Linked DNA regions of Caenorhabditis elegans. The protein of the gene in region 3 purifies or fractionates together with the protein of the main gene of each other region. This does not show direct contact. Each region holds a gene or a part of one and is shown on either strand. Other genes may lie near its edges.

Region 1 (8,702 bases), on a different chromosome or scaffold from region 3:
ATTGCCAACTCTAATCACAGTGTGACAAGAGGCGCGCTTCGGAGCGTTACACAAAAATCGGCGCCCTCCCTCCCGCTTCTCTCTTCCTACCGTGCTGTGTACTAGAGGCGAGAGGATAAAGGAGAGAAAGAAGGTCTCGGAGCAGGAGCGCGCCCCCGCGGGAGTCCAGAGCAAGTAGATATGACGGCTCAGATTGATGGACCAGAGAAAACAGAGAGACAGAGTCGAACCTATCACTATCAATGATTATCAACATGCCTTGGCTCTGTGTCTTTCTCGAAAGTTTCGGCAGGACCACTGTTGCTTCTGCTGCCTGATCACCTATCGATCCGTAAAGTTTACTGCGTGGGAGGACAGCTAGCCAGCCGACCACTGATAGTGAAAGAACACAAATATCTCACAGAAAAAGGTCCCACAGAAGAAAGAATAAAAAGTAACTAGTTAGTTCGGGGTACATTGGATAGATGTTAATAGATTTGATAAGAGATTTATGAATTTGGCAAGCTTCTCAAATACCACCCAATAAGAATATACATATACATAAACCATAACAGCTAAAAACGACAGAAAACCTATTGCACAAAACTAATTTCCCAATAAATCATCTAAAAATGTAAAACACACACATCATGATCGGGGAACATATGTTCATCCCGTGAAACTGAAACTCATGCAATCTCAACGACTTGCATGGCTGATCCAACGCATCTCGTGGAACCTATCAGAAATCTATGACTATGACGGAATGAAGAAACGTGCGATTTTGATTTTTCAAACAAAAAATGAGCGCGGGTTTAGTAGGGGAGGCAGATATGATAGAGCCGCAGTGCATTGAAAATCGAAATCGGCACTTATCTCAACAGTATCTTTTTTTAATAGCTCAAGTTGACAAACAAAGGCTCGCACCCCCATAGAGTAGGTGGATAGTGGAAGAAAAGGAACTCTCGCTTTCTCATTGACAAATAAAATTTCAGTTACCTGGCGCCACGATTCATTCAATATCATTCTCGAATCCGATCTAAACTCAATGTGATCATATCACAAAAAATACTCCTAGAGGAAAGGAAAAGCTGCAGAAGTATGTGTATACTTGAGACAGCCTTTTGTATTTTTGAGTGGTTGTGTGATTTTTTTTGAATGAACATTGATGATATCATAAAAAGCGGGATATGAAAAAAGAAAATTGAGCAAATAGCTTAAAGAATTTTGTTTGGCAAATGAAATGTACATGATGAAGTTAAATAGTTTTAGTTATTGGTAGAATTCTTACCAGGTTGATTTATATCTTTCTTACAACTACGCCGATTTGTTCTCAAAATAATCGGCAGAGACAAACAATTTCGCAAAAACACTTCAAAATTAAAAAAAAAAAGTTCCGAGAAATAGATAAAATCGTTGAGTACATGTCCTACATAGATCAATATGCAGACGACAAATAGTGTATGATCTCATCATTATCGGCTTCACACGTCCCCCCGAAGTTCTCCTTAGTTTCCATTTCCCACCCACGTTTCATCAATTTCGCCTTCGTGTTAGACGAGCAGATAAACGTAATACGAATCGCGTTGGCATATGTCGCGAAGATATTTGCTCATTTAACCGACCGAGCGGGACCTCCTCATACGCTTTGGAAAAAGAAATTTCCCTGCTAACACACACGCTAAGACCCCACAACTGTTCGAGTTGACTGTTCGGGCTTCTGCGGCTTTTACGAATGGTCCCTATCATCATCATTTGCTTGCGGAGGAGTTGGTGGCCAAGTGGAACTAGAGATAAATGAGATTTATAGCCTAGATGGAAGGTTAGAAGACTACTTTCTTAATTTTTTACGCGAGAAATGAAACGTATATATTTGATTCTACCAGTTCTCACATTTTAATTGACATTCATTTTTTAAAAATAAATTTAAACTCTACAAAATAGCATGAGACAAGAACAGTAGAGTAGCAAAAAAAACACTTTTTCTAGCGACGCTAATTGTACAACAAAAAAATTGACTGAAACCGAACACAATGTAACTGTTCAATTTTCCTTTTTCACTCTAGAGAACAGTGCAAAAAACTGGTGGTGAGCGAAAGAGTACACAAGAATGTGAAGCACAGTCCCAGAAATTTTGAAGCAGCCATCAGCACAGTCTCATTGTGTGCAATATGAAAAAGTAAACGGAAGGAAAAAAGAGTAAAAAGGACAAGATGAACAGTGCAAGTAACAAATTGTTGTGCGAGATCTCTGCGTAATGAGTTCATAGCATAAAAGAAAAGTGGTCTGGTCAAAGCGAACGAGTGCAAAGAAAACAAATAGTTACGACAAGAATACATAGAACCCCCAAACATTCATTGCAGAGATGTTCGGCAATGTCAAAATTCGGAAATGTTAAAATTGCCAACCTCTCAAGGTTTAATTATTTAATTTCAAAATATACGACTAGGCTTGTAAATTTTTGAAAATATTCAGAAAGTGTCAAAATCGTAGCTCAGTTTGGATGGAAAAAATTATTCGTTTAAGATTTGAGTTTTTGATTCGAAAAAATAGAATGCTATACCACTCAATTTATTATATATTATTTGACCTATCTATTTGTCTTATTTTCAATGAAAACTTTCTTCTATTAAAATCATACTAGAAAATATACAATTTGAGCATTCACTGGAAAATAAAGAAAAAAACCCTAAGAAAGTGATTGTATGTATAATAGTAACTTCCGAAGAATGATGCATTGATGCATAAAAACGACGGGACATTTTTATCGTGTTTCCCCCCAAAAAAAATTGTATGAAAGCAAATCCTGCGTCGTCAGTCGGCGTCACTTCAATAAATATATACGTACAAGCAGAAACCTCCCTCCCGACCAATATTGTTGACTATTCTTCACAACTTGTTGCTTTTTGCCCTCCTCTTTTCCCTATTTCTTTTCTATCAAGTACTATATTTCTATGTTTGTCGGGAAAAGAGCGCACGGTAATCTCTTGCTCATTTGTTTGTTTCTAAGATCATGGAGGCGCTGTGGTTGACACAGTGTGCAGACCATTCGATTTAATTTCCAATACTGTTTTTGTTTATTTCTTCGCTTATTGATAACTGACACAAGAACAAATAAGTACTCACCATCAAAATAGTAATCATCAAGGTCTTCACTCTCTGTCGATGTTCCAACTCTGCACTTAAATGTTTTCTCAATTTGAGTACATGTAAATTGTGAATGGACTATGTACTGTTTGCAGCGGAATTGATGTTGATTGAGATCTAAACGGGGCATTTTTGACGATCGTGGATCCTTACTCTGAAAATTACAAGCCATTATTTTTTGGGAAATTAATATTTTGGAATAGTTTTGAACACTTTTGTACGTTTTCATGTTTTCATTTTTTGCAGTTTTTGCTGTGTAAAACTTTGATATGAAACATGATCTGTTTAAGAGAAACTGTTGAGAAAATACAAGATTATACATTTTAGCTTTAAAAATTTCATGCAAAGCTGTGTAAAACACGGTGAAAAAATTTGAAAAAAAAACTGGCTGATGGGTGTTAATTCAAATAGAAATTGCCTACTTTTTTGCCAATTTATGTTTCAGTGACGATTTGAATGTTTTATTGGTTTTTAAATATGAAATGTTCTCTATAAGGAAAGTTACTAATAATTTTCCAACAATAAGAACTCTTTCAAAAATTATCTTGAAAACATATAACAACTGAAGTTTTATTTTTATTTTTTTGTTAAATCGTTATGTTTAGTAAAAACTTTACATTTTATTTTATTTTACAGTTTATTGGTTCTTCTTGGTTTTAGTTGGAAATATTATGTTTGAAATTCATAGAAAGTCGGTCATGTTTTACTTTTTCACTAACTTTTATTAATTTTTATGTCACTAAACTAACTGTTAGTTAAATTTGTAAGTTTTAAAACTCACTGGTAACAGAAGTGGCCTTTTTAACAGTTTGAGAGCCTCGGTTGCATTTGTCGTGTTGGAGGTTGACACGTCGATATTATAAGGTAATTCACTCTCTGTGGCTTTTTTACTAACATGCTGTTGCTTAGCACCTGTCCTCCCTATGAAAATTCTCTTCCTATGGTTACTCGTTGCATGCGTTGATTGCGGGGTCTTCTGATTAAAATCCGATGCGATATGAGACCTCTCATGCCTCTCTTCATCATCTGACTGCTCTCCAAATTTTTCTACCTCTTTTGTTGAAACTTTCGGTAGTTTTGTGTCAGTCCTGTCACTTAATTCTTTAGAAATATAAACTGAATTGTCATCAGGTTTCATTTTCACTGGTATTATCGTCACTTCTTTGCTCGTACTGGGCGGTAACTTTCTCAAATATTGCTGCACACTTTTGTTTGAACCATTTTTCGCAGTTAATTTTTTCTGCATTTCTTGGCGTGTTTTCATCAGTCTTAAAAAATATTCAGAATGCTTCGGTTTTTCCGTCATTCCTTTTTGTTCTGAAAAAATGAATAATAGAAACATTTTTTAACGTAATCGAACATACGATTTTGTGAAATGAATGTTGTTGGTTTACTTCTTGTACAAAGGTTTTGATTATCTGAAAAGTTAATTTTATCATATTTGAATTTTGTCTTTAAAAAAATACAAATCGTATCCATTAACACCTACTATATGATCTGGGTAAGCTGTAAATTGATGTTATCTCTCCAGGCAATGGGGTTGAAGTTCTTGGGTATTCATTTAGATCTGAAGTTGAAAAATTATAAGATAATTGACAAAAACACTTTACTTACCTTTGCTAGTGCATTTAAAATGATTATTGATTTCCAGATCGTCGAAACTTTCATCAGCCTGAGTATATATAATATTTAGCGTTTTATTCTTTTTTTTTAAAATTAATTAGAGTTATTGCTTCCTTATAAGCCAGAAATTTCTGAATCGGGAATGTACGCAATATGTCGTGGGGGTGTTTGCACAAGGATACTACTCAATAAGTGGTAACACTGCACATCTCACTGTGATTATCGGTTCTTATTAAAAGTGTAAAGACTTGTGTTAAGTGAAAACACCAAGTTATTAGAATAGCAAATATTGCATCGAAACGTTGAAATTTTACAAAAGTTTTGACACTTACCAAGATGGAGTCGGAAATTTTAAAGAATGGTGCTAACGATGCCATTCTTATGGAGTTAAACTGAAAAAATTAAGATTTGTGTTGTTAATTATAGAAAAAAGGACGAGAATTGAAATAAAGGATGAGTGAGGAAAAAAAAGCTTGATGGACGGAAAGTAAACAAAAACTGATACACAAAAAGTTAAATAAACAAAAAGTGAATGAAAAGTTTAGTAAGTAAGTAAGTATTGTAGGTAAACGGGAACAGATGACTTTGTGGTTTTCAGACAAAACAAAACTTTTAAGGCGAGTTTTTTTAACCATTGAAATAATGAAACAATAATTTGATTTGGCTTTTTGAAATCTACCTAATTGTTGTCAATAATTAAAGTCAAGTTTAACTGACTTGCAATTTTGTTTTGGTTTGAACAATTGGCATAGTTTTAGAATGTATATTGTTAAGTGAGAACTTTCATTGAAAAACCATTTTCTCATCTCTGTAATCAAAACCAACTAATTTCATAAAAGTCATAAATTGAAGGTTATCATAATTATGAATTGATCAATTTTTGAAGCACCTTCGTGATAAAACTGACCACAAAAAAACTAAATGATATCGGCGTGTACACATGTGGTGTTAGGCCTAAAATCCGATATTTTCTTTCTTTTCGATAACTATGAGATCATTGTCGGCGGTAACGGGAAGGGTGACTAGGGGTCTTTTGCAACCTGGAATTGTGGGTGACCGGCATCGAGGATGACCGACATCGTGGGCGACCGTCGCCGTGTAAAAAAAAACGCACAAAAATGTGTTTGATGAATTGGGATTAAACATAAACTGATAAACAAATAAGCTATAACATTCGAACTACTTGGAGTATTTGAATTCGCAAATGGGAACACTACTTCTGTGCATTAAAGTAAAGTTTTCAGATAAATCAAACATTATCAACAACTGAAAACATTTTCGATTTAAAACTTTTAATGCTACTTAGCTATTAACCAAAATTTGAAAAAAATTTAACTTACTTGCCGGTCCTTGTAATTTGAAAATTAGATAGTGATGTTGAAAAATGTTCAACAGCTTTTATTTTGAAATGAAATAAAAATACTAATTCTAATAAAACAAGACATTAAAAGTTTTCAAAAAAATTTAAAGGATTGGAATCGGTCGTAATAAAATCGGTTGCATTCAAATTACAATGAGAAAACAACTTTTAGAATATATCGACAAGTACAGTTGGGTAGCCAGCATGCAAAACATCCAATACTTTCATTTTTCGATAACTATGAGATTACCGTCGACGGTAACGGGAAGGGTGACTAGGGATCCTTTGCTACCTGGCATCTTTGGTGACCGGCATCGTGGGTGACCATCGCCGGGTAAGAAAAACCTTAGAAAAGGTGCTTAAAGGTTGGATGGTAAACGTAAACTAACAAACAAGTATGCCGGGACATTAAACTAAAAACTATATTATTTGAACATAAGTTCGCCGATTTTTCAGGATATTAATAAAAAATCACATACCGGAAAAAAATTCAATCAGAATTTCTAAATGAGATTTAATTATCACCAATCACTCAAGAACCGATATTGAAACATGAGTATACTTTGTAAAAAATTTTGTTGCTCCCAATTGAGAATTAAAAAACAACAATATCGACAAATACAGTTGTGCTAGCAACAATACCTAAAAATCCAATACTTTCATTTTTTCGATAACTATTAGATCACCATCGGCGGTAACGGGAAGGGTGACCAGAGGTCTTTTGCGACCCAGCATCGTGGGTGACCGTCGCCGTGCAAGCTAGAGATGCGTTGCGGAGAAGAGAATTAGACAACGCCAGAGTTCAACACTACGAGACGAAACGACATCACTATTCAATTCTAAACTGTACGTACTAGCCACCTGCCTGGAGAACCCGTTGAAAATCGACTTGATCGATATTTGGTGAAAGGGTGAAAAGTAGGAGACACGAGAGGGGGAAAGATGTCAATGAGGACAGGGGAAACGTATTTTCGAGAAAGTTGACCTTATCGACCTTGAGCACAGATGGCTCGTAATAACAAACTGAGTGCAGCCGAAGACATAATCGGAAAAAGCAGCCGATAAAAGTTATAAATACATTCATCCAGAAACACCAACTGATTTTAATAGTGGAGTAGCGCCATAGGGTAAATTGCTTAAAAAAACATTTTTATGGTGCAAAAATGATTAAATATCATAGTAACACTTATTTGAAAGTTTTGAATAGTTTTTTGTTGACAATCAAATGTTGCAATTACTGCATTTTTGCAGCTTATTGAAAACAAAATTATAGCACTGCAGAATGCTCAAATCACTGTAATGTTTGAATATGAGTATTTTAAACATAATTAGACTATTAAATTTGTAGGAATTGTTTAACTATGTTTTATTATGACTATGTTAATTGCTTCCCCTATTCCAGATATTATCATATAGTGTTCCTTTGAAATTAATATAAAATAATTATTTCAGACAACCCTGCATACATAGAATGTTATTTGGTATTGTCAATTTTTGGTTTTCTTCAAACATGTTCTTCCAGAACTACTTTTACGGTGAAATTACAACTTGTTCATTTTTCCAGAGACTCTTCATGTGGAAACATTAGTAACCTTTTTTAATGTTGATGTGCACAAACATTTTTTATCAATTTTTGCCATAATAATGCGGAACTTTGTTTAATAACATCAACAAACACAAATGATACGGATTGTTCCTGTTGTATTAAAAAATTTTATACCAGCTCTCTCTTGAATCTTGAAATTTATGACTTTCATTCCAAAAGTTACACATTGCATACGAAACCGCCACTGATAAATCTTTAACATTTATTACCCTCCACGTATCGTGTGGAGCAATTATTGCCATTTTCAGTGTGATAAAACCTTTCCTTTTTCCGGTTTACACAAAATATGAATTTAAATTATATAGTTTAGTTATTATTTTTGTTTGCAGATGAGCAAAAGCGGCTCACTACCAAGATTTGCGGACGAGTTCGAAGACGATGACGATATCGAGTTAGTAGAAGGCGCAGATTTTGGCAAGAAGTAAGTTGTTTAAAAAATTGTTTGAAAATTGTAGATTTTTATTTTAGCCTTCGAAGTTTCGGTATTCGTCTTGCTATTTCTTTGGTTTTAATTGGATGTGTAGCTGGAGCTGTGATTTGGTCTTTTGTACAGGGTTAGTTAGTGGCTTTCACTGGTATCTCCAGTCAGTAAATTTAGAAAAAAGTATTTTGAAAGATTATTGCTACTTGGAATAACACTGCTTAAAAAAGCGCCAGTGGGAAAATTGTTAAAAACAACTCCTATGGTCAAAAAGTTACCGAATATCATTATAAAACTTTTCAAAACTGTTTTGAAACTTTTTTATTTACGGTCAAAAAGTGACAATTGTTTTTGCCACTCATAATTTTGGAAGTCGATCAAAAAAACTTTTTTTCTACATTTTTTATACTATGCTTAATTATTGTTTATTCGAAACTGGATAAATTTTAACCAAATGTAATACAGTTCGCGCGCTTGCTGTAGGACCCCCTAAATTTTTGAAGTATTGAAAAACTTCGAATTTTTCGTGAAAATCTATTATGATATTTGGAATCAGGGTATCAAAA
Region 2 (7,681 bases), on a different chromosome or scaffold from region 3:
CGAATTTTTGTTGAACGGACGAATTATCGGCTTCCGCCATCTTGTGAACTTCCATCTGGAGTCCAGAATCAAAAGTGTCGCTGTTCTGCGACATACTTCCCGTCTATTAATCTGTAAAACTGCAAAATAAATAAAGTATTCGAAAAATCATCAAAAATGATTATTTAAAATAGGTCATATAAGATATTGAAAGATAAATTGAATGAAGCTGTAACCATAGGATTCAAAACAAGAAATATGAAACACGAATTCAAAAAACATTGTATGTTACAAAAAAAAACAAAATACAAAAAGTTTAAAACCAGTAAAATTAAGAATCGTGTGAATGGGACGGAAAGAAACAAATAAATCAGCACAAAGATGGGGAAAATAATTTTTGAGAAGTTGGAAGAAAAATACATATTTAAACAGGAACAGCTGATGTTGCAGTTGCAACAGCTGCAGTTGTTCTCGATTGTCGATCCGCCAGGTATTTTTGGTAAAGATCGCGGAACCACGTGGGCGCTCGTGTTTTGTTGCATTCGAGAAACTGAAAAATTATCATGATTGTTTGAATCTTTCGATTTTGAGAAAGAAAAAGAACCTTTAAATATTCGCGAACGAGGCGAAAGTCCTTATTCTGGTCGATAATCATGTATAACTTCAGTTTCACTCCAATAATCGAAGCGAGGTTCTGCAACTCCGTCTCCATAATTGTTTGAAAATATAGTGGATGCGGAGAATCAAACATAACGATAGTGTCGACGGCGCCTCGGTGAACAGCGCGAATTGATCTCCAGTCGATCACAAGCACATCGAGATTACCCGTGCGAAACTCAAAGTTTCGTTTTTCCACATCTTCTTCGGAGTCGCATCTGCAAAAAAATAAATATGGAATAAAAAGGACACTATTTAGAATTGAACATACGTTGTAATTTTATGAATATTATAACGAAGGTTCACAGCTAAAGTTTGCATTTTCAGCCTCAGGTACATCATCACACGAATACATGTTTCCGTCGTTCGTGTTATGACGAGAATGCGTTCACGGCGGGGTTCTGAGAAAAATTTTATACCGAGTTTATAGTTCATATCAACTCACTGTCTCTCCGTCCAGATCTACCGTTATCTGCCGCTCTTGCATCTCTTTCTTTTTTGATCAACATGGTTAGTATCTTCAGTTTTTGTGTTGATTCGGTCAAATATTGCTGAAAGAATGAAAGATTAATTCAAAATTTAGACTCAGTAGTTACCGAGACAATTGCGGGACTTATATTATTATTCTCAAGTGTGCTCTCCTGGGTCGGAAGTAGACTAGCAATTTCACTGATAGGACGTACCAACTTGCATTCGATATTGGAAAATACATCACGAACTCTGGAAACATTCTAAGAATAGCACAAATTTTGCGAATATTGCTCGAACCTCGGATTATCAGCTTCAATGAGCACAGGTCTTTCCATTTTACCTTTGCAAAACTCGAGTGTTTCGGTTAACGAGGCAACTGAACTTGAGAAATGATACGCGAAGATGAATCGTGTCAAAGAACTTTCAAAAGTTTGAGCGAGACGTCCGAGTGAGTCGGCAAACTCACTGTTCCCCTTCAACTTCTCGGCATTATTAATGATAACAAAACGTAGAACAGATATAAAATCATCCAACTGTTCCATTTCATTCTTCAGCTTATCGATATACTCTTTGATTTTTTTGAATGAACCAATGAAAACTCTAGATCTATTCGATGTCATGAATTCATTTGACAGCTCAGTTGTGTCTAGATTTGTTATATGTGTATTTGGACGAGTGGAATTAGAACTTCTTCTCTTGTTGAGTAGGCCTCTCATTACAGATTTCGAGCGTTTACCGTCTGTAGTTATAATAATGCATCGCGGAAACGGTTTCTGAAATTAGAATCAGTTATCACTTCCACTAGCTTGGCTAACCCTATGCGAACGAAATCTGTCGATGGAGTGCAAGATGGGTTGTCCGTAGTAAAACTCGTGATTTGGGCCTGAATGAATGCAAAACAAATGTTCGCCGTTGTGAAAACGCCCGAGACTGCAATATAAAGCATCTTGCAATGTTCTCCATGGACTGTAGCCTCGGCGGCCACTGAAAATATGAATGTATTTTCAGAATTAACGACGGGATCGAATGACCTGATTGAAAACTTCATCAGCTTCCTCGTTATTTGCAGCGACCCGGTTTCAGACGATCTCACATACGCTACTTCTTCAAAGTATTAATTTCGATGGTATCTTTAGTATGATATTTCAAACCTTCTCTTGAAGCTGCCGGTCCCCACTCTGGGTTATGCGCTCGAGCCTGGAAAACATGAAATAATTGCAGTCATTCATTAATCTCAACTTCTTTGACCGAAAAACATGATCTCCTTGCATTGCCCAATCCATCAAGATCAAAAGCATTCACGACACCTGAAATGAATAAAATAAATATCCCATTTAGCTCATCAAAAATTGTCACCCATGCTACATATGCCGATTCCATTGGAGTTATCCATTTCTTTGATACTTATCTAAATACTTCCATTCAAATCCTGTTATTTAAACCCGTGCGCGATATCTGAACAACTCCGGAGTGTTTTTCAATGCTCGACTCGCTCCAGCAATCGATAAACAGAATGGGAATCGGTTTCGCTGCGTTCAAAACATCGGCCGGAATATTCTGGTTTCTGAGACAACGAAACGTGAAACATCTATCAAGTTTTCAACCTTTTTTCGAAGCCATGATTAGTATCATAATTTAAAACCTGTTTTTTTGCTTGACGTTTTTGCATATTTCAATCAAAACCACCTTTCATATCGCTTTGATTTTCAATTTTAGAACAAAGCCCCGCCTACAATTGCCTGATTTCGTTCTACGCGAGCTGTTTGCTTGCGAATCGATAAAGTGTCGGTTGTGTGGCAAGTGCGCTCCACTGTGCAGGTCTCGCAGCGATTGCCATTTTCCACCGTAGTTCCCTCCAATGTCTTCTCCATTTTCGTAATTTTTTGGTTCGCCCAAATTTTTTTTCGTCATTTTTTGCCTGAAATGTTCGTTTCTTCTCAATTTTTCTTGGATTTTAAGAGTAGATTTGAGAATAGTGGATGATTCTAGTCGATTCAGATCGACTGGAGCGTGATTTAAATCCATGACTCTAAGTGAAATGGGATAATTCTCAATCTTACTCGGCTCTCCCACGGCTGAGGTATGTATTTTTCGTAATTTCGCTTTTCGTTTTTGTTAAATAATCGATTTTTGTAGTATGGGACGTCCAGAGTTCAATCGTGGCGGCGGCGGCGGAGGTAAACTGAATTTCAGGATTTTTTCGTATTATAAATATTATTTTTCAGGTTTCCGAGGTGGACGCGGTGGAGACCGTGGTGGTAGCAGAGGTGGATTTGGAGGCGGTGGTCGTGGAGGATATGGCGGAGGTGATCGTGGCAGTTTCGGTGGAGGTGATCGCGGAGGCTTCAGAGGAGGACGCGGAGGTGGAGACCGCGGTGGTTTCCGTGGAGGAAGAGGCGGTGGTGATCGGTTTGTGTTTTATAATTCTGTTCGCCATCAAAACGATAATTTTTCAGAGGTGGTTTTGGTGGCCGTGGATCACCAAGAGGAGGATTCGGAGGACGTGGATCTCCAAGAGGCGGAAGAGGATCACCACGTGGTGGACGCGGAGGAGCCGGTGGAATGCGAGGAGGAAAGACTGTCGTTGTCGAACCACATCGTCTCGGTGGAGTATTCATCGTGAAAGGAAAGGAAGATGCTCTTGCCACAAAGAACATGGTTGTGGGAGAGTCCGTGTACGGAGAGAAGAGAGTGTCCGTCGATGACGGAGCTGGCTCAATCGAGTACCGTGTGTGGAATCCATTCCGTTCTAAGCTCGCTGCTTCCATCATGGGAGGATTGGAGAACACTCACATCAAGCCAGGAACCAAACTTCTCTATCTCGGAGCTGCTTCTGGAACTACTGTTTCCCATTGTTCTGACGTCGTTGGACCAGAAGGAATCGTTTATGCTGTTGAGTTCTCTCACAGATCTGGACGTGACCTTTTGGGAGTTGCCAAGAAGAGACCAAACGTTGTCCCAATTGTCGAAGATGCCAGACATCCACACAAGTACCGCATGCTTGTCGGTAAGTATTAAATTTAAGCATTTTTGTGTTTAATATTTATATTACAGGAATGGTCGATGTCATCTTTTCTGATGTTGCTCAGCCAGATCAAGCTCGTATTGTTGCTCTCAATGCCCAAAACTTCCTTCGCAACGGTGGACATGCCGTCATCTCTATCAAAGCTAATTGCATTGACAGTACTGCTGAGCCCGAGGCTGTATTTGCTGGTGAAGTCAACAAGCTGAAGGAGGAGAAGTTCAAGCCACTTGAGCAGGTAACCCTGGAGCCGTATGAGAGAGACCACGCTGTCGTGGTTGCTGTCTACCGCCCAGTCAAGGGAAAGAAGGTCTGATCTCCAAAATCATCGTTACATTTTTTTGTTTTGTTATTTTGTTACATGTATACCTCCATCTTGATCGTTAACACTTGTTTTACTTGTTTCCCAATAAAATGTTGTTGATGCTGTCATGTTAGGGATGTTTTACTTTTATCTTTACTTGGTTCTCAACCTTGCCGATATTTCTATTCTACTTTAATTGTAACCTTTATTTTGTTCTTTGTTTAATATATTATTACAGGGTAATGACGTCTACCGTGCAATCGGTTCAGACCTTCGGGCGCAAGAAGACTGCCACCGCTGTCGCTCACTGCAAAAAGGGACAAGGACTTATCAAGGTCAACGGTCGCCCACTTGAGTTCTTGGAGCCACAGATCCTGCGCATCAAGCTTCAGGTTTTTGTTCCGACATTAAATTCCAACTAACTTGTATTTTTCAGGAGCCACTTCTCCTCGTCGGAAAGGAACGCTTCCAGGATGTCGACATCAGAATCCGTGTTAGCGGTGGAGGACACGTTGCCCAGATCTACGCTGTCCGTCAAGCCCTTGCCAAGGCTCTCGTTGCCTACTACCACAAGTACGTTGACGAGCAGAGCAAGAGAGAATTGAAGAACATCTTCGCCGCTTACGACAAGTCCCTTTTGGTTGCTGACCCAAGACGCCGTGAGTCCAAGAAGTTCGGTGGACCAGGAGCCCGCGCTCGCTACCAGAAGTCTTACCGTTAAATTCTTTTTGTTGCACAATAAAATTGTTATTGAAAAAAAAGATTTATGAGATCGAATTTAAAAAGATTTAGAAAGTGAAGCTGAGCAAAAGCATATCAAGGACAAAAATGAATAGTATTCCGGCGATGAGGTCCAATCTTGAGTGTTTAGTTTTTCTCGTGTAGGCAACTTCGAATTGTTGTATTGGTTTAGAGCTTAAAATTCAATCTTATTCTGGTATGGTATAGAAACACTCACCAAATGCACTCAGTTTGAACTTCGCTGATTCCCGTTCCGTTTATTGTACACGTTGATCTCTTCTGCCGAGCACGACTACATCGAAAATCACAACATGAGTTGAACATTTCACATGACGAATAGTCTGCCTGAAATATTGGCAGAATTTTTTCAGGATGAGCTAAACATTTCAAACCTTTGATATGCATTCCTGCGTGTAGACTTTTAAGGATGCTTCAGTGTTTGATACTAAACATGGAATCAGGCAGGCTGGAATAATGATGGCAGTTATTCGCATTATAAAATATCTGAAATTAAGATATGCTCCTTCTGCTAGACTGGATATAAATTGAGAAAGTAAATCTACAGAGAGATTGCAGTGGAGTCAATGTTTGAGCAGAGTTCAGCATACAACAATCGCTAATTTGACAGTTTTCTCTGCTTCTTTCAATTGTGAACTAGTATTGAGCTAGATTGAAAAACCAATTAATCAATTTTTCAGGAACTGCAATCAAACACAACACTGATATGCGGAAAAAGATTGAATACTTTGTTCACAGTTTGTTTTGAACATACGAAAACAGACAAATGACATTGACCCAGAAGAAATCAGAAATTTAGAGAAAATGAGTGGGTAACTGTTAACGAAAATTCGAACGAAAAATTTGAGAGAAAGGCAAAGCTGATGTGGGTGTGTTTATCAGTTTTGCTAGTTATAAGACTAAAGTATTTTTATTATTTATTATCTCGATAGGAATAGTTGTCAAATAATAAAAACAATATATATCATTTTATTGATAAACGGAAATGAATTTTGACCTCGATGATTAACGATAAACTGAAAACAAACAAAAAGTAATCATGTGAACTTTAAAGTTTTTCAACGTTTGAATGGAAAGTAGTAGAAGAATGGAGGTGCATGACCTTCCCCTTCGAAAATGGACGTCTTCAAATGCGATGGGGTCAGTTTTAGACTGTCTCTTCCTTCTCCTTCTATTTCAAGGTTACACAATGGACAGCAGATGCTTCGTCTTTTTTCTATGCCCACTGCACCTGCTTTTACTATTTATTGATAGAACATATATATTTTTTATTTATTTATAAATACTCAACAAAACAGAACGGTAGTGTATAGAAAACAAATCAAACTGTTTAAATTAACAATAATAAATTTTTCAGAATATAAATTTTCAGAGGAAACGTGGAAGATCCGAAAAGAATTATTATCCAGACGCAAAATTTTGCTAAAAAAATACGGTGTGCGGTCCTGACACGGAAATTTCGTCAACTGCAAAAGGGTGTGTGCCTTTAAGGAGTACTGTAATTCTCAACGTTTCGGTTCTGTAAGACATTTATGTTTCCTTAAAATTTTGAAATTGTTCAATTGAAACAAACGGAAATCGCATAAAATGTCATGGATTAAAAACCAAAATATAAAATTTGAAATTTTGACAGTACAGTGATCCTTAAAGGCGCACGCAATTTTGCACTTGATAAATATTTTTGTGTCGAAACCAGGTATCGTACTTCTCGATTTGGAAACATATTGTTCGTAGTGAAAAAGGGTTGCGCAGGTTTAGGTGATACATAAATTGCGATTTGAAATACTTGCGCTCTGAAAAAGTTCTGAAAAAAACGAAATTTTCAAATTCATAGTTGCTATCTGTAAGTTACTTTTTTTAACTGAAGAAAACACTTTAAAAATAATTTATTTTATTTCTGTGCAGTTCACTTCATTTTCGGATCTTCCATCTTACTTCCAGCAGTTGGTGGCAACTTTTCGGACGCTTCATTTGATCTTTTCGATGTATCCGAATCATCATTGTCATTCCAGTGCTTGTACATGAAGTATCCTTGTCCAATGATTGCCAGAAAAGCGATGACGCAAGCAATGATAAGTCCGATGACAATTGCATTCATGCCAGATGATTCTTCAGTCTTGAATTGAAAGAAGCCCGCCGAGCATTCTTTACGTGAGTGTGAAGCGCGGGACTTTGATTCCAGTATTAACAGGTCACGACTTCTGAAATAAATTTCAAATAATCATTCAATTAGTTTCAACTTACGAGGTGACTTCCGTGTAAGCTGCAGATGGGAAATTGTCATTCTCAAACTGCACATCTTCCTGGAATAAATTATTGTTAGGAGTATCTATGCAAGCCTACGGAATTTTTCGTTTTTTTCTTTTTTACTTTTACTTTTTCTTGTGTTATTTGTATAATACAATTTCAAAAATCGAGTTAAATAACTTCGCTTCAAGACCGGGTGCTTATTCTTGGAGAAAACCTCGAAGTCGGCTTTGTGTCGATTT
Region 3 (8,185 bases):
TTAGGTGTCGGAACATCAGGTGCTGTGGAAATTTTTTGCACATCTTTCGGGTGAAGTCTTTGGATTGTTGCCAAATTTCTTCTCCTAGACTGTTCGAAATTAGAATGCCGACTTCGTTCTGCCCACAATCCGATTTCTGTCTTGAGGTCTCGCTTATCCGTAACTGCAGGCTTAATTGTGGATGTTTTCAGGTTATTCGGAGGCTTGACTAAATCATTTTTCTTTACTCTCGTTGGAATTGGAAGAATATGGCATATGAGGTTGGAAACTTTCCCTACAGAACATTGTGAGCAAACCGATTTCAGTTGACGGAAGCTGAAATTAAATATTAATAATTAATTCGGTGCTTTTTGGAAAGAAAACTTACTCTACTGATTTCATTCGTGCTGAAACAGTTTGATTCGGAGATTTCGGTGGCACTGGAAGCTGTGTCTGCATTTTCTGCTCCGATGGTGGCGGAGTTGTCACTGGCTCTTCCTTCACTTCTTCAATTACATTTAAAAGATGAGCAGCAGCTTCTTCTTTGTCATATTCGTCAGCCAAAGTACTCCCCATCACATTAACAACCGAAACAATGCAGTAATGTTCTTTTCCATAATGATCTTCTAGGTTGATCCTGACATATTTTGCATAGACATTTGTGTTTGGAACATCAAAAGTTTGCAAATTCTTATGATGATCCTGCAGATGAAATGGTCCAACAGAGATCCAATTTGCGAGAGGAGGGTATCTCTCAGAAATGAAAACTTGAATTGTTTTGGGTCTTGAAGCGAACAGTTCAAAGTTTCCAATAGCTATCTTTTTAATCTGAATTGCTTCGCATAACTCAATAACTATAAATTTTTCTTTGGCAGATTGGCATGGATTTCTCATATAATCATCGACGTCTTTCTCATTTACAACAGCTTTAGCATTCTCAGCTTCAGGATTTGCAGCGATAATTTTAGCGCCACATTCCCGACTGGCAAAGTTTCTCGGTGGACGAGTGATTGGGGGCAGCGGAATTGAAACTTCATCGTGCCGGGCAACTTGAGTTGGCTCAATTGTTTTTTGATTCTGTCCGTTTTGGTTCTAAAAACTCGAATTTAAAACATAATTCTCTCAGAATAAAATAAAAACTCACCGCAACCGCATCTCTTCGCTTTTTCGTCCATTCATCAAAGTTATCTATGCTTTTCTCGGGTATCGAATCCTTTTCCGATGCATTTACTGAATTTATATTTTATTTATGGAATAAAATATAAATATTATTACCCGAAGCCTTCATAATCTTTTTCGAAACATTGTACGGGGCTGACCTGGCGCAACCATCGATAGATAATGCGCAAATTGGACTGAAATTTCAAAAAATTTGTAAGAATTTGTGTTTTAAAAATAAAAGATTACCTATGTTCTCCATCAGTCAGTAAAATGTCTTTCCAGTGTTTTACAAATGACACTTCTTGATTAGCATTTATGTTGGGTAGTACTAGTAGTACGCTGAAATATTAGCAATTAAATTCATTTTTGGGATAATTCTTAGTGAAAACATCTTCAGTTCATCAAAACGACTTTTAAATGATTATTTTATATGAATACAATAAAAAACTTACGCAAATATCAATAACCGCTTGAGCTTCATCACCTGTTCCACCTTTCTCGCTCACCCATGCGTCGTGTTTTCTGTTGAGCTGTAAGTAGAAGGTTTAAGTTTTCAAAAGAGAACAAATTTAAAATGGAAAGTGATAAGACCCTTATGATTTCAAACAAACATAGATTAGAAGGTCTCGTGATATAAATTTTATAAGCGGTGTCGCGTCAATTGGCCGCCAAACAGCTAAAAAATTGACTGCGGAACCACAAGGTGTTGGGAACAAAGTACGTCAAGAGCGGCTACTGACGTCATTGTCGATGGTGTACGTTGGTTGACGCACATCTCGTGCAAAGCGACGTTGATTTAATTTTTGCAGGAGCTTCTCTTTTTATAATCTTTTCTGCTACATTCTCTATGAAATTCTAGAAAGTTTGGAATAATAAAACAGAATATTATTACAGGGAACCAAAATAATGCCGAAATTGCCACTACTACTCAGTTTTCCACTTCTATTCTTCGCCTCATTTGCATACGCCGATGAAGACTTTGTGACGTGCTACAGCGTTTTAAAGTTTATAAATGCTAATGATGGCTCTAGGTACGTGAGCCAGCTTACTTTATTAAAATTGTTTGCACTAATATTAGAAACTCGGTAAAGTTAATGACACTAAATAAATAGTTGCCACCAACAGTAAATATTAAAGAATATCTCCTGAGAAAATGAGCATTTTCCCTTCGAAAAAGTAGATTTTGTTTGAAACAAAAAGGTTTCAGGTTACATTCGCATGACGTAAAATACGGAAGCGGGTCCGGCCAACAATCTGTGACTGCTGTAAAAAACTCGGACGACATCAATTCTCATTGGCAGATTTTCCCAGGTTAGTTATTTGGAAGTTAACGCCTAGTAACTTAAACTATAATAATTTGTGTATATTAATGCTTTTTGAAAAAAAAGAACAAAGAAAACCGAACATTCTCTTACTTCAGCTTTGAACGCAAAATGCAATCGTGGAGATGCAATCAAATGCGGAGACAAGATCCGTCTGAAGCACCTCACCACGGGCACGTTCCTGCATTCCCATCATTTCACTGCACCTCTCTCCAAACAACATCAGGTTTGTTTGGCAATTCGAGAAAACAAATGAATAATTTGATTTTTTAAAGGAGGTCTCCGCTTTTGGCAGCGAAGCAGAAAGTGACACGGGAGATGATTGGACTGTGATTTGCAACGGAGATGAGTGGTTGGAATCCGAGGTTTGTTACATTCCTTTTCGATATTATCTATACGTTTTGAATACCCTATATTGTTCACTTTAGCAATTCAAACTTCGCCACGCTGTCACTGGTTCATACCTCTCACTCTCGGGACAACAATTCGGACGCCCCATTCATGGACAACGGGAGGTCGTCGGCACCGACTCGATCACTGGTGGAAGTGCATGGAAAGTTGCCGAAGGCATTTACATCAAGCATCAGCAAAAAGATCTTTAAATCCACATTGGATACTCCTAATTTAATAAGCCATGCCTTTCTTCGTGATATTTACCATTGCTTTACGGGGATGTTATCTTTGTTATTTTTTCTAATAAAGTTATTAGATTTTGTCTTCTGAAAAATTATTGGCAACTGATCTAAATACCGGGGATAAAATACTACATTGATGCACAGAAAAATAAAAGACCGAATAAATTAAATGTATATGATGCGATAGGGTAAAAGAAAAAGAGATTGGTGGAGAAGTGGACATGAGGATACAATCAATGTTCTGAGTTTGTTTATCACTTCTTTGGAGTATTAGGGGTTGATGATTTACTGTCCTTTTCCTTTTTCTCATCCTTCTTTTCATCCTTTTTGTCTTTCTTATCCTTTTCATCCTTCTTTTTCTCAGCTTCGCCAGTTTCCTGCTCCTTTTCAGCCTTCTGGAGAGAGATCTAAAAATCATAGCTTTTAATAAATTTTAAAATCTTTGCAAATCACCTTGTTATCAATTAAGTTGTGCAAAGCGACCACCGATCGTACAAGAGATCCCATATACACACACATGAGCTGATCATTAGTTTGCACATTCTGTGAAACAATGTAGTCTGGATGAGTGACGTCAGGCAGGAGATTGAGAACTTCTTGAACATAGTAAATGACATGATGGTTGACTGGAAGAGTTCCGCGCACAATATCATGAAGATACTTCTCAATGGATTCAAGCTGTGATTGCAGTCCTCTCAAGCCCATAAGTTGATCGGTGATACGCTGTGAAAGAGTTCCAGCAGTTTGGTCCTTGATATCTCTCAAAAGATGCTCGACTCCAACTTCCTCAGCTTCTTCGGCTCCGATATCTGAAGGCACATGCTCGAAGGTTTTGATTGGTGGAGTTCCATCCTACAAAACAATATATTGAAAAAAAATTAAACAGTATTTTGAAACGTACATCGTGAACTTCCTGAACTTCGATGTAAGCCTCTGTTGGCAATCCGATGTTCTTTGGCTCAGCATCGATAATTACAAGAACCGGGTTCGGGCAGAATCGTTTCAATTGCTCGTTGATAGCAATATCGTTCTGTAAAATTAATAAATAAATAATTAATTAAACTGTTGAAGTTGAACACCGTAATTTTGCAAAAATCAGGGTGGCACAGAAAGTAAGGCGGAGCGTAATTTCGCAACACTGTGACACGGTTTTTTCTTTTTTTTTTGTCAGGTATCCACTGCATTTTTTTCGATTTTTTTCAAAAGTTTTGATTTGATTTGTTTTAAGTTTTTTTTTTTTTGCTTTGTTGTTATTTGCACAGTATAATTTCAAATTTAAACAAGTTCGCGCTCCATCGATCATGAAACCGTAAAAACGGGTATCAGAACGGATATTATCGGTTCATAGAGATTCAGAGCCCAGTGATCCGTATGCAGTCATCACAAACCCGAGTGGAATGAGAAATCGAACCAATGGCTGGAGGCGCAGAGTGTGTGCCTGCTAGCCACTAGACCACTACGCGCGTTGTCCCCGTCTCTTTTTTGCCTCTTATATACCTTGTGAAGTTTTGGACCCGTATGATACCATCCGACGATTTTTTCCTTGGCGGCAACCTGTAAATTCATTTTTTTTGTTTAAAATTAAATAAAAACGAGATTTCAAAATTCACCAACCTTGTAGAACATTCCATACATGCTCTCCAAATAGTCCATGTCGAGGAACCATGTACTTTTATCCTTGTCATCTTCATCAAACGGAACTGAAAATTACTTTATAAGTAAGCAAATAAATTTTTAAAAATACCAGCAAAACTGTTTCCAATATCCAGAGTTTTGTCCTTTTTCATGGACCCCAAAAGGACTCCAACAACACGCTTCACGCTTTGAGTTTTGCTGACACGATTGAAATGATCAACAACACTCAGAAGAACCAATGGATGGACGGTCACCTTAAATAATTGTGTTTATTTAAAATCGAATTTTCTCGCTCAGGTATGCTAACCTTATTAACGGGAAGGTTTGCATGAACATTTCCAAGGCAATGATGGGCTCCAGCCTTTTGTTTGAGAACATCTACAGCTTTGACAGTCGCCACATCTCCGTCTTTGTTAGTTGGAGCCATTCTTCTAAAAAACGAAAATAAATTTATCACAATAAAAAATCAACACATAACAGTTTAACACGTTAATAATCGACATAACAGTGAGAAACGCTTAATCATTGCGGAAAAACCTGCCATAAACGTATCTAGAATATAATTTGAATGAAAAAATGAAAAGAAATAAATAAATAATGCTTAAAAACGACAATTTCCCGCTTCCCGTTCAAAAAAGAAATATCATCGTTTAAAGGCGCATGCAATTTCCCCGTAAATCGACACTGGCCGTGGTGAGACCCATCCCGTATTTCCACTTTATTTTTCCTGGTTCTTTACTTTAAAATTAACTTTTTTCGATTGCAATGACGGAAAATTAACTTTCTAATGCGAAAAATTGAAAATTGAACATTTATTTTATTGTTCTAGTAAATTTTTGTTTAATAATCTTGTGTTCACAGCCTGTCGTTGAAAAATGGCAACTTCCTATTTTGGAAAAATAGCTTGTGCTGTGATTTCTTATCGTGATTTTCATTGACATATTTCCAAATTCGTAGCATAGAAAATATTTTCAGTGAAGAAAAAGCATTCATACTGGGCGAGAACAACAATGCCGTTTTATGAAGTGAGCATGATCACACGATCTCTGTCAAAGGTACAGAAAAAACACGATGAAGCGTGAGAATGTGTATAATCATGAGAATATTCTTTATTTCAGGCAGATCTTGTTAAAGCTTTAACGCGTGCTGGAAACACTTTGCTGGATCACGGAGCAGTAATTGAAAAGGTTGAGTCACTGGGTCATCGAGATTTACCGTATAAACGGCTGGCCAAACAGACAAATGAGCCCGTCTACGCTTCAAAGTAATATTTAAAAACTATATATCTTAAAAAAATTGTTTGTTCTTTGCAGTTTCTTCCTCTTCAAGGCGCACATGTCTCGGGAAGCTAGACAGAAAACAAAGTCTATTTTGACACATGACCTGGACACGGTGAGTTAGTTAAATTTCATTATATATTATCTGATGTTGATGTATGATCGGGTCTTATTGTTTAAAAGTTTTCTTTGTTTAGATTCATTTCGAATGTTGTTTTGTTCTTTTTCTAAATTAATTTGTCACTTTTTGGTCATTACAAAAATCTGAACCATATTTTTTCAGGTTCAAGTCGATCTAATTCAAGTGGACACACTGCCGGCTCCAAAGGTTGAATGCAATCTGGAAGAAATCCTCAAATCTCCTGCCGAACGTCAAGCAGTCAAGGATTTGAGAGAAAATCAAAAGATGGGTCATTTCACGCGACAGATGATCTACAAACGTACTGAAAAGGAGTGGAAGAGTATCCCGAAGAGTTACCCAATTGCTCCGCCAAGGCCCTAGACATGAAATTCGTAATCGACTTAAATTTACGGGTCGAAGATCGCCGACAATGCACTTTTGGCCACACCTCCTTATGATAGTGTTATCAAACGAGGCTATCTTTTCGTACTTTGCGTTGTCTGTTTTCTCGATTCTTCTGTACAGTTTTAGGATTTATAGAGTGATTTTTGTTTTCTTAAAGTTGAATTGATTTGTTTTGTTTCATGAATATCACATTTTTATTTATTTATTTTTCTTCCTTCAAATCACGTACCTGGTTCATCTGACCAAGTGATATTTGTTCACTTTTCTATTGAAAGAAAATAACCTGTTTCACATTGATATTCGAAAATTGTTAAAAATTCAGAATGACCGCCGCCACCGCTACCGCCAACGGAAATCACTCAATCGAGGATCCAGTCGTCATGAAAGTCCAGGCCGCTTCACCAATCCAGGAAACTGATTTTTTCGAGAATCTCTATCAAATGGAATGTTTTCGCACTGGGGAGTTCTACCTCAAATCTGGCCAGATGACTCCAATCTACATAGATCTTCGCAGAATAATGAGCTCTCCTCGTGTGCTCCGAATGGCTGCTCAAGCTATGTGTGAGAAAATTGTCGCCTCAAACCTCAAATTCGATTATGTTGTTGGAGTACCATATGCTGCCCTTCCACTTGCTACCGTCAGTTTTCAGAAATAATTCACACTAAAAAATGAGACTCAATGTTTTTAGCTTGTATCTGATATTCTCAATGTGCCGATGCTTATGAAAAGAAAAGAAGCCAAAGCCTACGGAACAAAGCAACTTATCGAAGGAGTCTATCAGCCTGGTGGTACAGTACTTCTTGTCGAAGATGTCGTCACATCAGGTGAATCAATTCGTGAGACAGCAGAAGCAATTCGCAATGAGAATCTGTTGGTCACTGATGCCATAGCTGTTTTGGATAGACAACAGGGAGCAACTGCCAATCTCGCAGAAGATAATCTTAACTTCCTCAGGTGAGGCTTTTTCGTTTTAATTAAAAATCAAATTTTTTCAGCTTTTTGACAATGGAGAAGATCCTCGACGGCCTGATCACGAAAAACGAGATGACCGAGGAACGAAAGCACGAGATTATTGCTCATCTTGCTAAACCTTTCTAAAAATTTCATTGTTGCACCCCATATTCTACCAATTTGTGAACTTGTTTTCTCATTTTCATAATATTCCAATAAACTTCCTTGTTAGCACACATGCATCGCATCACATAAAACAAGAAAATTGATGGACCAATTTAAAAAATGGAAAAAAGGTTTCATTAAATTTTTGTTTAGCGTTTTATGTGATGTTTTGTGTGTTTATATTTTCTTCTCATCACTTTCTACCATGTTTGCTGAATAATTTTCATTATTTTTTGGCTTGTTGATTCCTTCCCAAGTTGTGATATATCCTGGTTTAATTCTTCTTCCGCATGTCTTAATAATTTTTTTTTTTGGAATTTAGCTAAAGCATAATCAAATCTTCTCATGTTCTTTCCCTGAAACGATTTCAAGTGAATAAAACCTTTTCCAAATAGTGTTCACAAAGGATAAAACTCGCACCATCTATCATAGCTCAACAGTTCTCGCTAAGAATTGCAAGTCAGTCATTAATGCACATAAAACTTAATAAACTTTTAAAATCGGATTCAATTATTTTGCTCTACCGGATGACC
Region 4 (7,314 bases), on a different chromosome or scaffold from region 3:
AGTTGCGGACACAAGTTGGCGGTTTGACTGCTCTTAACACTGAGTTAAAAGCTTCTCTGGATTCAAAGAAACGATGTGTTGAGCAGTTAGAGATCCAATTGATTCAGCATAAGGAGAAAGTCAAAGAGTTGGAAGATCGAAAAGACGAATTGATTGAAGAGCGGAACCGGCTGGAAAACCAACTTATTTTCAGTTAGTTTATAAACATTCAATATCCTTAATTATTTCTGATTTTTAGAAGAAGCTGTCACTCCACGATCGCTTCATGAGTCTATGTTTGAAGCAGGAAATCTGTCGTTTGAGTAAGTTAAAAACGAACTTTCCACCGATTCTATATGCCGCCTAGACCTTTCAGTGAGAAGAACACGTTGCCATTGGAAATTGAGAACAAACGACTAACGGAGCGTATTCAAGAGCTGGAATCGTTGGAGCCGCTGAAAGGGGAGCTTATCACGCTGAAAAGTAAAAATGGCGTTTTGGAAGAGGAGAAACTATTCGCCACCAAGCAAATTGAAGAGCTCCAGCAGCAGATTGAAGATCTTCAAGAGAATCTTCTCAAGAACCAGGAACACGCTAGCGGCGACGTTGTTGGTTTAAAAATTCAGCTGGAGAAAGCAGAAGTTGAAGCTCAACAGATGAGAGAAGCTAAAATGCGTGCGGAGACTAACCAGGCTCAAGTTGATGAGATACTCAAAAAACGAACTGCTGAATTGGAGGTCAACGCGACTGCTCTGCAAAAAGCTAAAGCAGTGATTGATGAACTGGTATGTGATACATGGAAATAGGCACATTCATTAAATATTTGTATTTTCAGGAATACAATTCTCGTCCAGTGAGTGAAGACAGTATGACTTCTGTTCAAGCTTTCAAAGAAATGAAAGAAGAAAATGAGAAGCTTCGCCAGAAAGTTGAAAAATTGGAGATTGAGCTCAATACAGTAACCCAAGGATTCGAACAAGAGAATCGGCTTTTAACGAGTGCCTCGCATCAACAGGTGCCCCAACAAATTGAAAATCGGAAAGAAAACATTGTTTCAGGTTTTGAATCGATCTATCGACGAAGTGATGAGCATGAGAGCACACGCTGGATCCGAAGAGCCGCAGACTCTGTTGGATACACAGAAAATGAGTGGAGCACTTCCATGGAGGTAATAGTTTTCATTATTTTTAAAAGAGAAATCTAGAAATATTAATTTTCTCTCCCTCCTTGCGGTTTCTTATCATTTTATTTTTCTACGGTTTCAGATTTTCGTGATATTCCCACTATCTCTCTATGTTCCATACAAGGTAAATGTGCACGTCTTTTGTTTGCACGAATCTGAGTTTTAGTGTCCTTTGTGCTCACCCAGTTTTTTTGTTTCCATTGCGCCCTCAATAACACCCTCACACCACTAATTTTTAGATCACTTGCTTCCGAGACCCGTCGAGAATTGCCGACGGCGATGGCTAGGTGAGTAGGAGCACTTTGTTTTAATGTTAACTTTCTAATACGCTTTACGCTTGCACCCTTATGTGACTGATAACAGCTTTTACCACTATGACATTAACCACAATTTTATTTTTAATCTATTTTTATTCCTTTGTTTTTTTTTCAGCATTCTCGTCCTTGGATTCCTCGTCTTCATCGCCTGGATGTTCATAAACATAAACAGCGCACTGAATGCTCCTCCAAATGCCTAATCATCTCTACATCCCTTTGTTCTTCTGTATTTTCTGTCAACATCCACCATCATCATGTGTATAGTGTGCTTTACCCTCATTTGTCCTTTTTTCTCTCTTTCGTGTACAGTAATGTGCTCCCCACTTTTCTGTTTTCTTTTCGGGTATACGGCACGGGATCCGCAAATTTTCTTTCTTCTACCATTTGACAGTTCCCCCATTTAATTCCTTATTTATTTATTGTAACCTGCTTTCAGACTGATATCTATGACAGGAAAGCGGTGAGCTCCAGGCTGTGATACCCAATCCTTGCTCCTCCAAAAAGTTCAATTCTATGTCATTCTAGTTTCTAATCATTCAGTTTAATTGATTAATTTTGAGAATCTCGCGTTGTTTTCGAACACCGAGAAGTGTCTGTAAATTGTGCAACCCCCGCCTCTCCCGCCCACAATCTACAGTTTTTGGCGTTTCCTTCCAAAAACTGTACACATTCTATTCATATAAATTTCTTCTGTTCTTCTGACTCCTTGAACCCTTTATGTGTTCACAGATTTATTTTATATTTTTTGATGAAGAAGTTTTTACAAAAGATGTTTTCCATTTGTTTTGCATATTAAGAAAGGCCTTGCCTATTAGTACCTCACGTTCTCAACTTTTATTATAAAACATTTCGTATTTGATTCAGAACCAAATGAGATATGGACTCAGTGCTCAGAGGAGTCTGATCAATGTTTGTAGTAGAAGATTCTTCGGGAAGGATGCCAAAGAACAATTTCTGAAGGTATTTAATACTGCAATCATTTAGCCAACTAGAGACCAAGAATGCTCATTTTCAGAATCTTTCATCTATTCCCGCATCGAAACATCCTCGCCTAGTCTCGGATTCCGACGCGAATTCGGCAATGTCTGTTCTGATTCCGCTTGTGACTGTTGACGGTCGTGATTCTGTGCTTCTAACGAAACGATCGATTCATCTCAGATCGCATCGTGGTGAAGTATGTTTTCCAGGTGGTCGAATGGATCCAGGAGAAACTACAACTGAAACTGCTCTCCGTGAAACGTTTGAAGAAATCGGGGTTAACGCTGAAAGTGTGGAAATCTGGGGTCATTTGAAAAGTGTGATAAGACGGCAAGCGGATTTCAATGTTACTCCGATTGTTGGATACATTTCCGATGAGCGAGTTCTCGAGAATCTGGTGGTCAACTCTGATGAAGTACAAGCTGTTTTCACGATTCCAATTGATGAACTTATCAAAAAAGCCGGACTAACTAAATTCCAAAGCAAGAGAATGAAGTACACACTGCCTTCGTTCGATTCCACGGAGTTCAAGGTTTATTTTTTAAATAATTTCCGAAAAAATGTTAAGTTTTTCAGGTCCATCACAATGCTCCGAACGAGTATCTTCATTCCACCCAGCGAGTTTGGGGGCTTTCTGGTGTAATGTTGCATCAAGCATTGACCCTGCTGAATCCAGATGTCTATAAGCATGATTTAATTGTGAAATTTTTCTAATTCTTAGGATCTGTGTAGTATTTTTTTTGTTCGTAGAATTGTTGCCATAAACTTCGGGAGACTAAAGATAAAACATTTACAAGTCATAATGGGTGATAAATGTATTCTCGATATTGAAGAACCAACACAAAAGAATTTAAAAGTTGAAAAATACGGTAACCGGTCGGTCTGGGGTGTGGGGATGAGACAGGGAAAAGAGAAACAAATAAATTAGATTAAATTGTATACACTTAATGTTGGGAACGGGGAAAATTTCTCAATCCATACGAGCCTTGATAGTTGAGACGTTAACCTTATCCTTAGTGATTGTGTACACGACTGCTCCCCAACCTGATGCAGCATCACGCTCCAAGCAAGAAAGAATCGACTGAGCAGTAGCCTCGAAGAGCTCATCCGGCTTCATGTTCTCGCGCCAGAAGTCTGTAAAAAGTATTTAAATTGAACGTTAAACAAAATTCAAAAAACTCACTTTCACAAACTCCAAGCAAGTACTCTTGTCCCGTTCCGACAGCAACGAAATCGCGTGGAGCAGATACACATCCGATAGTGTCCATGCAGCAGATATATGGCTTGTTGGTGTCGTCCAAACCAGCAACGAGTGGCTCGGTGAAATAACTGCCAAAGCGGTGCTGATAAGCCAGATTCGAGATCATCTCGGACAACACTTGTGGCTTGATGTTGCGATTCTCACGGAGCTCATACAAATTCTTGCGGAACATAATTTTCTCCAAGACTGTGCGAGCATCGGATTGGAATCCAGCAAGTCCTACGTAGACCTTGTCTGTCACCTTATGCACTTTCTTCTGATCAGTTGCAATTGTTGTCATCTGCTCTCCAATACGAAGATCCGAAGCAATGCACACACATCTGAAAAGATAAGAATAAAATAATATTTCAACCATGAAATTTAAAACTTACTCGTCTCCAGCCATGGCGACGACGGTTCCACCAGTGTAGCTCATAATCGACATTTTTGAGTGTTTTTCTGGTCTTTAAGACGAAGAGATATATCTGAAATTGAAAGAGAGTGTGAGAATGTCTGGAAATTTAATAAAACAGAGAAACAATGAAGTGAAATGAGCGTTTCAATCGTTTGGCGGACATTTTGCTTACAAATAGGAAACTGCGGCAGGGAAAAGTGGGCGGAGACTAATAGCGTGCCAGGGTTGCTGAAGAGAACCTATGGAAATCGACCATTTTCTTCAGACAGAACATGAAAAAAATTAATTAAAAACGCGAATTTATCGACGGAAAAACGCATACACGGTAAGAAAACAATCTGAAGTCAAATAGAAAATTTAGAAACCGTTGCGGAGATGTGAAATGGGTGTACAAAAGGAAAATTGATGGAACAGAATATTGAAATTTTAATAAAAGGAGGAAAAAAGAGTGGAGATCAACTGAAAATATTAAATTGAGTGATCAAGTTATAAAGAAAAAATAACAATTGTCACTTTATGACGGAGAACGCAGAAATAAGGAGAGAGCGTAAAAATGGGAGGATAATAAAATCTTTAAAAAATAAATTAACTAAGAGAAGAAAATACCGGCAATTTTTGAGAGGGGAGACAAATTTTTGATCAAAATGCCTAGTAAGCGATTGGGAAGTTATCCTCCGGAATTCTGAGGCGACGAACAAGTCGAGTTATTGGCATTTCCGCCAATCCACGTGGATTCATGAACGTCGGATCATCGTTCATCACATTTCGGTGTGGCGGGCTCAAGGAATAGTGACGTGCATAATAGTCTCTGTGCCGTTTCGTACGACGTTCATTCACTGCACTATGACGACGTGCTTTCCTAAGAGCTCCTTCACGCGACAATCCACATTTGTTCTCCCTTTCGAACTTGGCGAGACGGCTTCTCGCAGGTTTATCCGCTTGTTGAAGAATCAAATTGTAAACTTTGTCTCGCATCAAGTCACACATTTTATTGGCCTCCGGGAAGAACTTTGACCAGTCAAAGTTTGGAAAATCCTGAATTAAAAGTGTTTATTTATTGTGATGTTTCATGAAGATTTACTTACGTTCACATTGACCGGACGGTTCGGATAACAGAAGAGCCCTTCAATGAAATGCAATACATAAAGTCCACAATCATAAAAGTTGTCTTGGATTGGAGTGTTTTCAGCACGAGTCACGACAACTCTCTCCTCATCGTAAATCGTTGGATTCTTCGACGCAAATTTCATTCCAGGAGCCTTAGTGTTTTCATACAATTGAGCCAAATAAATCTTGATGCAGTGACACATATGATTCTTCTTGCTTGGATCGAGACCACTCAACGGATCGAAGAATACAATATAACACTTCGGAGCAGCTCTGGAAGCTTCCTCATTCGACATATCGACAATTGCACCCGATGGATTGATAACAGCGATGACGAGCCAGTGAAGATCTTCGTTGATCGGAATGATAATATAATCTTTGGCAAGAACATCGAATTTTCGTGTCCAACGGAGAACTCGAGGGCAATTGTCTTTCACGATTTTTATGTGTTCTGGTTCGATTGGTCGTCTTTTGGAGAAGCACAATGGTGGAAGTAGGCGAGTCAGATTGACGAATAAGAACGTGTTGCACATATGCACGGATTTCATTCTGTAATTAAATTATAATTTTTAAAATCCAATGATGTTTAATGAAACTTACAGCTCGGACGAAAGCATAAATGCAATATAATTCAGCATAAATGCCATGACGCTGTCATTCAGGAATTCTTTGCGATCCAGTGTTTTGATATCCTTGACGAGCACTGAAATTCATGGATTCTATGAGGGAACAGTTACAGTAACCTATTTTGCGCAGACAGTACTTTGCTTGGTCTCACCACAATAAAGTTTTGTTAAATGCAAATAGGTATGCGCCTTTAAATAAAGTTTATATTATTATTTCTTGGTGTTTTTCAAAAATGAAAAAAATGAAAAAAATTGATGAAAATCCAGAAAAGTCTTGAAGCTACAATATTTTTTTAAAGGGGCATAACTGTTTGAATTCAACAAAAATCCGAGTAATATTAAACTTACACACTACAGGATCCATTCCCGTTGTGCAAGAGCCAGAAGGTGGGAACGTGAAAAGTTGCGTATCTGGAGGTATTTTCTCAACAACTGGTCGAGTTGGAGGCAGCGCTGCAGTCGGAGTACTCTGAAAAAAAAAATTAAATCAAAAGAGGTTTATCCACGATGCCTACCGGCAAACATGAGCCCTGTTGTGTATTTGGAAACGACACTTGGGGAAACGTGAAGTCACCATGAGCCTGAAAATTTAATAATATTTGAAAATACCCTAGAAAAGAGCCTCGGAGCACAGTGTTTTAAATTTTTTAGATGAACAAGGGAACAGAAAGAAAAATGGGGAAAATGGAGTATTTTTGTTAGTATAGGTTGATTTCGGTGAGCAAGAGCAAACCAAACCTGTTGCCAATTATTGCTTTGTGGGAATGAACTTTGAGGATAGGGCTCTAATGGGTTGAATCCGATGGTTCCGATGCTCGAATTCCCATCTCCGATGTGCAATTGTTCGAAAGAGGCGTTGTGCACTGAAAATCAATTTTAATGATTTGAAATCAGTGCCGATCATCTAACTACCAGTGTTAGGATGAATTTCATAATGCCAGTTGTCACTGAAGGCATGAAGAGCATTTGCCATATCAATGTTGTACGCTTCTTCTCCCAAATGACTTATTTTTTCAGTGAGATCCTCAACACCATCATTTCCGGAAATGTGTGTAAAAGCGACGGATTGAGTAGAATAAATAGCTCCATTTTGTCGTTGGAGAACTGGTGGAGGAGCTTGCAGTTGTTCAAAACTGACGAAATCGTTCGGTTGCTTTGTACTTTTCATCACATCTTCATTCTCGAAATTTGACGTCGGGTGGGTCTACAATTCATTCAAATTGCAGTCACAGGACGCCGAGACCTTTGACATACCATTGCGTTATCCATATCTGGCCATCCCATGAATTCTCCCATATTTGGCTCCGAATTGATCTTTGGCATCTTCAAGTTCTTCGCACAACTTCCTTCTAGCCAAACACTCCGATCATTTCGATAAATAAGCTAGAATAACTCACTGAGTTTTAGACTTAAAATATGACAATACAACGAGTAAAGAAAATATAAATTAAATGTGAGTTCAGATAGTG

Evidence for each region.
Region 1: the proteins of rpn-8 (region 3) and dim-1 fractionate together in Caenorhabditis elegans (co-fractionation; one large-scale study listed by BioGRID). This does not show direct contact.
Region 2: the proteins of rpn-8 (region 3) and fib-1 fractionate together in Caenorhabditis elegans (co-fractionation; one large-scale study listed by BioGRID). This does not show direct contact.
Region 4: the proteins of rpn-8 (region 3) and pbs-3 fractionate together in Caenorhabditis elegans (co-fractionation; one large-scale study listed by BioGRID). This does not show direct contact.

Annotation. Positions count from the first base shown.
Region 1 is NC_003284.9:8,053,087-8,061,788, forward strand, and holds the start of dim-1 (Disorganized muscle protein 1), read right to left. Parts: upstream 5,135-8,702; 5' UTR 5,127-5,134; coding exon 5,082-5,126; intron 4,799-5,081; coding exon 4,741-4,798; intron 4,694-4,740; coding exon 4,616-4,693; intron 4,545-4,615; coding exon 4,491-4,544; intron 4,444-4,490; coding exon 3,908-4,443; intron 3,281-3,907; coding exon 3,106-3,280; intron 1,623-3,105; exon of another isoform or gene 1,487-1,622; intron 414-1,486; exon of another isoform or gene 68-413; intron 4-67; exon of another isoform or gene 1-3. Other genes in the region: C18A11.3 (DUF4309 domain-containing protein), read left to right, coding at 8,045-8,136, 8,184-8,269.
Region 2 is NC_003283.11:14,997,532-15,005,212, reverse strand, and holds fib-1 (rRNA 2'-O-methyltransferase fibrillarin), read left to right. Parts: upstream 1-3,103; 5' UTR 3,104-3,187; intron 3,188-3,243; 5' UTR 3,244-3,244; coding exon 3,245-3,284; intron 3,285-3,332; coding exon 3,333-3,516; intron 3,517-3,563; coding exon 3,564-4,114; intron 4,115-4,161; coding exon 4,162-4,445; 3' UTR 4,446-4,560; downstream 4,561-7,681. Other genes in the region: Protein hrde-2, read right to left, coding at 1-94; mut-15 (MUTator), read right to left, coding at 404-529, 584-854, 908-1,037, 1,082-1,187, 1,233-1,356, 1,405-1,880, 1,923-2,091, 2,139-2,211 and 3 more; rps-16 (Small ribosomal subunit protein uS9), read left to right, coding at 4,676-4,825, 4,870-5,154; T01C3.11 (uncharacterized protein), read right to left, coding at 5,222-5,348, 5,392-5,519, 5,567-5,668; irld-14 (Receptor L-domain domain-containing protein), read right to left, coding at 7,099-7,393, 7,437-7,495. UniProt on the Caenorhabditis elegans protein: S-adenosyl-L-methionine-dependent methyltransferase that has the ability to methylate both RNAs and proteins. Involved in pre-rRNA processing.
Region 3 is NC_003279.8:4,172,297-4,180,481, reverse strand, and holds rpn-8 (26S proteasome non-ATPase regulatory subunit 7), read right to left. Parts: upstream 5,164-8,185; 5' UTR 5,160-5,163; coding exon 5,040-5,159; intron 4,987-5,039; coding exon 4,842-4,986; intron 4,798-4,841; coding exon 4,712-4,797; intron 4,652-4,711; coding exon 4,595-4,651; intron 4,486-4,594; exon of another isoform or gene 4,418-4,485; intron 4,128-4,417; coding exon 3,999-4,127; intron 3,950-3,998; coding exon 3,551-3,949; intron 3,505-3,550; coding exon 3,352-3,504; 3' UTR 3,211-3,351; downstream 1-3,210. Other genes in the region: suco-1 (SUN domain-containing protein), read right to left, coding at 1-315, 368-1,071, 1,124-1,209, 1,255-1,334, 1,387-1,479, 1,593-1,621; R12E2.13 (MIR domain-containing protein), read left to right, coding at 2,047-2,171, 2,348-2,451, 2,561-2,688, 2,738-2,827, 2,891-3,064; mrps-6 (Small ribosomal subunit protein bS6m), read left to right, coding at 5,743-5,787, 5,851-5,996, 6,046-6,124, 6,293-6,511; R12E2.11 (Orotate phosphoribosyltransferase), read left to right, coding at 6,859-7,173, 7,225-7,490, 7,532-7,634.
Region 4 is NC_003280.10:4,951,246-4,958,559, forward strand, and holds pbs-3 (Proteasome subunit beta type-3), read right to left. Parts: upstream 4,183-7,314; 5' UTR 4,143-4,182; coding exon 4,090-4,142; intron 4,039-4,089; coding exon 3,641-4,038; intron 3,592-3,640; coding exon 3,428-3,591; 3' UTR 3,235-3,427; downstream 1-3,234. Other genes in the region: zyg-12 (Zygote defective protein 12), read left to right, coding at 1-192, 239-302, 347-764, 815-994, 1,038-1,147, 1,402-1,449, 1,595-1,679; ndx-3 (Nudix hydrolase 3), read left to right, coding at 2,350-2,439, 2,495-2,989, 3,034-3,171; ulp-2 (Ubiquitin-like protease 2), read right to left, coding at 4,761-5,147, 5,198-5,768, 5,820-5,922, 6,194-6,314, 6,361-6,426, 6,584-6,708, 6,758-7,049, 7,100-7,228. UniProt on the Caenorhabditis elegans protein: Non-catalytic component of the proteasome, a multicatalytic proteinase complex which is characterized by its ability to cleave peptides with Arg, Phe, Tyr, Leu, and Glu adjacent to the leaving group at neutral or slightly basic pH.